2 linked regions of the Xenopus tropicalis genome follow. The main gene of each other region encodes a partner of the protein of the gene in region 2 in a complex. Links are inferred from orthologs where the notes say so. Each region holds a gene or a part of one and is shown on either strand. Other genes may lie near its edges. The genes, in order: pola2 and pola1.

Evidence for each region.
Region 1: the proteins of pola1 (region 2) and pola2 are in contact, whole or in part, in a cryo-EM structure (PDB 8G99), measured with the Xenopus laevis proteins. The link is inferred for Xenopus tropicalis from reciprocal best matches to the Homo sapiens genes POLA1 and POLA2. Residues at the interface, in NP_001082055.1 of Xenopus laevis: Gln548, Lys551, His553, Gln554, Asn555, Phe642, Glu645, Val646, Gln649, Asn652, Leu673, Gly675, Arg676, Phe679, Lys1137, Asp1141, Pro1143, Asp1144, Ile1321, Gln1322, His1324, Asn1325, Lys1326, Leu1328, Leu1329, Arg1332, Ile1335, Lys1336, Tyr1338, Tyr1339; in XP_018112289.1 of Xenopus laevis: Met280, Tyr281, Lys282, Phe283, Met284, Phe285, Gln286, Lys287, Leu288, Met289, Ile291, Arg292, Val295, Ser296, Ile299, Glu314, Thr316, Leu320, Pro321, Gln323, Glu324, Thr325, Val326, Gln331, Gly333, Cys334, Asp335, Ser336, Asn337, Gly338.

The regions. Positions count from the first base shown.
Region 1 is NC_030680.2:31,683,033-31,686,864, reverse strand, and holds part of pola2 (DNA polymerase alpha subunit B), read right to left. Parts: intron 1,957-3,832; coding exon 1,848-1,956; intron 814-1,847; coding exon 707-813; intron 1-706. UniProt on the Homo sapiens protein: Accessory subunit of the DNA polymerase alpha complex (also known as the alpha DNA polymerase-primase complex) which plays an essential role in the initiation of DNA synthesis.
Region 2 is NC_030678.2:40,736,994-40,740,068, forward strand, and holds the end of pola1 (DNA polymerase alpha catalytic subunit), read right to left. Parts: intron 927-3,075; coding exon 757-926; 3' UTR 742-756; downstream 1-741. UniProt on the Homo sapiens protein: Catalytic subunit of the DNA polymerase alpha complex (also known as the alpha DNA polymerase-primase complex) which plays an essential role in the initiation of DNA synthesis.

The sequences.
Region 1 (3,832 bases), on a different chromosome or scaffold from region 2:
TCATATATGGGGTGAAAAAATCAGATAATTATCAGGTGGGTTTGAAAACTGCTTTTTTAAATGAAGACCACATTAGGCATTTTGATGTGGTCCTTGCCCTATGGGTCGCTATGTGCCTTTAGTAAGATTTGGTCATTGACTCCTAATCAGCTCAACCAGCACAAACAGTAGCTAAATCAGACCAAAATCCACTTGACTGGCAACCGAGCCAAACATATGCATCTTTAAACGGGTCCTCCACTAAAAATATATATATTTTTTTTTTTTTGCACAATGAAAGAAAATTCTAAGCACCTTTACAATATTAATTTATTAAAGATTTTCTATCATATTAAAGATATATGTTGTTGCATATGAAATCAGTATTCTCTGGTTCTGGCTTTTAATGTAACAGGGGTCAGATCTCCTCTAGGTTTTGTAATCAGCTTTTACCAGCTGGCTTGTAGCACTGTTTCAGGAGTGCAGAAAATGTAAACAGACAGATTCATTTTGCTACTTTCAGTAGCAAATGTACACATATCAATAAAACCACTGAAACTATTTAATGTATATTTAAAAAGTTGCTTAGAATTCTATTTTTACCGAGGTTGGGGGGCCTCTTTAACCGTATGGCCAGCTTTAGTTGTTAGGCAGTTCCAGCTAATATTGTTTGAAAAGTTTAATTTTGCTTTGTAGCTCAAAGGGACTGACCTAGCAATCACATTACCTGCTTATTTCCTCTGCACCCATATGAAAGAGCAAGTCTGTAGAGGTTATGCCTAAGATAACACCATTGACAGACAACGTGCAGGGATCGGCAACAAAATGGACCCTCTGAAAATGAAATCAAACAAACACACAACTGAGTTGTAAAAATAAAAACACGGACAAAAGAGATAAAATGGTGATATAAGCAGTAAGCCTACTAACAGCTTAGGCTCCTGTTAAAATTCGTTTATTGGGCCAGGGACCAACTAATCCATGTTGTAGACCAAATCAGGCAGTAGTGATGTGCAGGTCGAGAAATACTCGACTCGCACCTGACCCTAACTCGCCCGTTCCCAAACTGAACTGGCTTCCTCCATCTATTAATAGACCCGCGTCTGCCCGCAGTGACGGCCAAAAGGGGCGGAGCTTGCCGGAAGCACGCCTATAAATTAGAGAGCCAGAAGAGGAAGCTGGCAGTGTTAGGTTGTTGGCAGGGAGGGCAAGCGAACCTGAACCCGCCCGCAACCAGCAGTTGATGTGGGGAGGTTGGCTCAAACCCCCCTGACCCGCACATCACTATCAGGCAGGTCCAATAATCTAGCCTCCAACTACCTCAACATTAGAGATGCACAGAATTCTTATTTTTGGGATTTGCCTGAATCCCAAATGTTTAATGCAGGACTGGGGTAAATCCAAACCCAAACCAAATTCATATCCTCATTTGCACATGCAATTTAGCACCCAGAATAAAGTGCACGTAGGAATTTTTTTTTTTTAATTGTGTGACCAAAACTTTTAGGGTTCAGATTTAGTTTGGCCAGGCACTTGAATTTGGCCAAATCAGAATCATGCTGAAAGGCTCAGATTCTATTTGCTAAAATATTTTTGGTATATTTATGCCAGGTTCATGGATTGTGCAGGTTTAAAAAGTTTCTGCTGTGGCCAACATAGGTTTCGTACGATATTATCGGTGCGTGTATGGCCAGCTTTAGTTACTGTCTCTGGCATCTTACAGCAGCCCCTCCCTGCCACTTGTCAAAATCTACAGATTGCCAGTCTGTACTTGACATACATTATATAGTATTGGTCGGTCAAGGTATTATACAGGGTTGGCCCATGTATAAAATGAAACTATTAAAAGGTCACAGAACAGAGCTTACGTCCTTGTCTTCTTTGGCCGGTTCAAAACAGCTGAATGGTGGCTGAGGATAGACAGGATCATGATGAACATCTCTGAGAGATGGAACGAAGACCAGATGGCACCCCGAACTGAAAAGTAATGAGAAGTATGAGAAATCACCTTCAAACAATTGTTTAGCTTCTTTTTACTTATTAACTTGCTGAAGCATGGTCAGGCATTAGATCTGCAGTGATATCAAAATTTCAGTTCCAAACTCTGGCTAACCATGGCTTACATTGTTGAATGTATGTCTGTCATTATAAACATAGTCTCTTCTTTTTGGTTACCAAACAATATGCATGCTCTATTCCAATGATCCCCAACCAGTAGCTCGTGAGCAACATGTTGCTCACCAACCCCTTGGATGTTGCTCTCAGTGTCCCCAAACCAGGTAGTTATTTTTGAATTCCTGACTTGGTGGCAAGTTGTGGTTTAATAAAAACAAGATTTACTGCCAAATAAAGCCTCCTGTAAGCTGATAGTGTTCATAGAGGCTACCTAATATCCAATCTTAGCCTTATTTGGTACCTCCATGAACTGTTATGATGCTTTTGTTGCTCTCCAAGTCTTTTTACATTTGATTGTGGCTCACGAGTAAGCAAAGGTTGGGGATCCCTGCTCTATTCAGTACAAACTCTCTAGCTGTGCTGAGGACTGATCCCCAATGCCTGGGATTCCATGCAGCTGCATGGATATTATGTATTCCTGTTCACGTTTATGCAGTTAGCTCTGACATCAGTTTCAGATTAACATTGTTTTCCTCATTTATAATCCAGTTCAGCTTTCACGTACGCACAAAGAAAAACAGATTTATGTACAGTTTCATAACTATTTATAAGAGGATTTAGGCAAACAGTGGCCAGAGATCTAATCAGAAATCCACTCTCTAGGTCCCTGCAGAATTTTGACCATGCAGCACTCTTCTGGCAATTGCACACAAGGTTCTTTGTAGTGGTTTCTGGCTACTCAGCTCACAGAGGCAACATGGAGGCTGGCACAATTTTGAGGGTTAACCCCCAGTTTTAGGAACATGTCCCAGGTAAATGTATCTAGCAGTGCCCTACCTACATTCTGATACTGTAAAATTATTGCATCAGAGTAGGTAGTGCATGGCCAAGCCTTTACTGCCAAACCTTACTTCCCCCCTACACACTACAGCACTAGTATGCGACAAAGAAAATTTGCTGCTGATAATTAGATGGCTTGGCCTGTAAAAACGCACCAAGCACTAAAAGTCTAAAGGGCAACATTTTACATTTGGGGCTTTAACTATTTATCAAAGGGGTGAAAAAAATGCTATTTACGTGATTAGCAAGTTGAGTTCCCTTCTGGTAAACTATGTTAGGTCCTATTTGAATGTTTATTGGGTATGCTTTACTATTCTTTTCTTCTGTTTTCTAGTTTAGCATCTGTCAGCGAGAGGCAGGCAAGGAAACCACAACATTTGTGTATGGCTCATGTGGTTGCTTTTGCTTAACACAACTGGTTCAGCTACCATTTAAAAGGTCTTCATAATATAATCTGAATCAGGTAATCAGGTAAGCGATTACAATCACAATCACATTTTGTCATCACCAGTGATTGTAACTTTCCCTCTTCTTAAAAGACTACTTCACCGTGACAGCCCTAAGGAAGAAGAGGTCTAACCCCCCCTCCTTGCTTCCCTCTACGTGTGTTTTTGCCTGATAATAAAGCTGAAGTGAACTCCCCATCTCAACTTTCTTCCCCCCCTTCCACTTCGTTGCATGTCTAGATCATTGTGCCTTTGAAACGCACTGCAACACATAGAATTTGTAAGGTCTTGTTTCTTTACAAGTATTAAGCCGGCAATACACGCACCGATATTATCGTACAAAACCTCATTTCGTACAATATTCGGTGCATGTATGGCTGGAAGAGGCGACCTATATTGCAAAAGGCTGTGGATATTGGCCGTCTCGTCAATTGGCCAGGTTAAAAGATTTT
Region 2 (3,075 bases):
TATCATATAAAAGGAAACTAGATTTTTAGCTACGGCCTGTGCTTAAAAAGTTGTTGCTGCCTTCTAAATATACATGTGTGTATGCAGAACAAAGAGAGACAGAGACGCATGTGTGTCTTTATGTTCTTATACTTGGAGGCATGAATTAATCCTTTACTACACATACTGTATGTATATAGTAGCAATTAAAAAATACTATGGTGCTGATATTTAAAGGCGAAGGAAAGTCATTTTGGCATTTTACTGCCAGTAGATTAGCCCCATTCGTGCAAGCTAGAACACTATATTTATAAAGAGCCTTAGAAGCTCCCTCTGTTTGTTTAAGATTGCAGCTGCCATTTTAGCTCAGTCTGTGTAGCTCAGATCACACATTCCTAAGTTAGTGTGGGATAATTCTTATGGGAGGGGTTAGCAGTAGAAGAAAGAGAAGAGAAAGCTGCACAGACTCCAGCCTCAGGAATGAAGGTTTTTTTCTGAGAGGTGTCTGATATGAAAGAACATGTTCACAAAAAAGGAGTCAAGAAATCTTGCGTTTCATTTAATAGAGGACTTTTGTGAGTGCTTATGGTTGTATTTACATAGACCTTTCTGATAAAGCTTCATTTTTACCTTTCCTAATTTTGGATTCCTGACATGTCTCCTGACAGTTAGGCAAGAGTTTCGTGTATAAAGAATTTTTCCCATTGTTTAATGTGATTTTTCATCTGCAAGCACTAAAAGTCAAATTCCTGTTCATATGGGCTAAATTCTATGTGGTTACAGATTTGTAAAGGTGCAGAAAAAGCAATGCAGCGCATGTCTAAGGCTCACTATTTGAGTCAGTAATGTTTTTTCCAAAGTCATTCTTATCATAAGAGCGCCAGAAAAGATTGATATTTCAGGACCAACCAGTAAGTTGCATAAACATCCAGGATCATCTTCCATAACTGTGAAAAGATTTATAAAATATTTGAGTTGGAAAGCCCAGAGTGAATATGTATAAAAAAAAAACAAAGAATATTCATGAGATCTTCTGGGAAGGCCCAGGATAACCAGCAATATTACAGAAGTATTCCACATAACCAGAAACATTATATTCACACATACTCCAGCAAACTCCAACATTGCACTGGATTAAACTAGTCTTGCTTTCCCATACCTTATAATATTTAATATTTCCTTCTCCATATCAAGTGATAGATACATTATGAAACCTGAAAGCAATTTTTCAGCAATGCCAATTTACCCATAATGTTGCAGACATAATGACCAGTTTGTAAAGTTAAAGGAAAGGTATGTACAAATTCAACCCCAACATATTACTAAATTGAGTTAGTATTATCAGTGGAAAAAATATGCTCAATTTCCCATTATTTATCAAGCCCTGTCCTTTTCTTTCTTACCAATTACATCCCCTATCATTTCCAAAACCTACAAACTGTTTTCAATCAACAGATTTCTTTATTATAGTGTGCAGCATGCTTGTTACTCCCTTCTATGTGGAATCCTTGATTGGACAAGCGGGTTTGAATTTAACATGGACTGTGATTGCACACATCAAATAAATTAAAGCTGCCAATCTCTCTTTGAAGAATCTTCTTTATGTAGTATTAGTGAAGAGCAACATGAGTGTATTTGTTTAGGGGCAAATGAAAGGGGATGAATTCTAGATATGGAAACTCTTATTTCTTTACACATTATGGATTTCTCCTTTCAACATATAGCTAAAGAGCTACCTTTCTGCTGCTAGTCTCAAATGGCAAATTATTATTTGTAATATGAACTGAACTACATAGCTTTTAATCTAAACCATATATAAATGGCTGAAGCATAAAATCTTTTGATTAGTTTGAAATGTCAATTTCTAATAAAAACAACTGAGCTTGGTTTAATTCATAGGGAACCATGCCAAAATCAGTCTAAACCCACTAAAAAGCTCTAACGTGGAACAGAATATGTTCTAACCAAAATGCCACCAATGCATATTGTTCTGCAGAAACCACAATAACAGATGTACTGTCAAAGGAAACAATTTAATTGCCTTTAATGAGAAGGTGAGCAGGAACCCTAACTCTGAAATGGCAGTGTATGTGGTCTACTTAGGGGGGCATTTACTTAGGTTAGTATTTTTTTCCCAGGATTCACTTTTTTGGGAATTTCTTTACCATTTATGCATCAAAACCATGAGAAACGCAAATGTAAAAATACACCATCTAAAAGCTGTTGAAGTCATGTAGAAATCAATGAGAGTTTTCCATAAAAAAGTTGCTTGATTTCTTGAACAAGCAGAATATCCAAGGATATTGTGATATATAGTTTATGTATGTGAGCGTATATAGTTATGTATGTGTAGGTCGGTATGGGTCTGTTTGCGCACACTGGGGTTCGCTTGGAAAGGTTGAACTTTGATCTTTTTTAACCCTGTTTAACTATGTACATAAACTATGGGTTTTCTTGCATTGATGTACACTATGTTTGCTGCCAACGATAAGAGGACTTTAATAAGGGTATGTTTTGCAAGAGTAGCATTCCATGTACTATGGCCTTTTCTTATAACTGGAATGAATTAGTTTGCTTACCTTTAAGGCTGCGGCACATAAGGAGATTTGTCCCAAGTAATAAATCTGTGCAACCATGGGTAGCACGTCTCCTGAAAATGATTTCCCACTGGCAATAATGTTAATCGCTGCTTGCAGGGGGGAAAGCATTTAGTCATCCATGGTAGAGGAGAATCAATGCAGTTGACTAATCTCCTAGTGTTGTATCAGCCTAACATGTACTACTAATCCCATTTATTTATGGCAATGCTTATATTTGCTTCTGACTTCCCAGACAGGACTGTATAGGGTTCTATGGCTTGTTCTCCATACTGAATAACTGATAAACTATGTAAAATACCATTGGTTTAGCACCTTATTGGTGGTATTTGAAAATCATATTTTGAGGATCTATACACCTACCTGGCAAGGGTCATTATATAAAAAGCGATATCTGATGAAAAGAGTTCATTAGAAAAATATTTGATCCCCCTTATATAATTTAAATTGCATTTTAAAAATTATGAAGATTTCAATTGAAAATTAAATAGCATCCCCC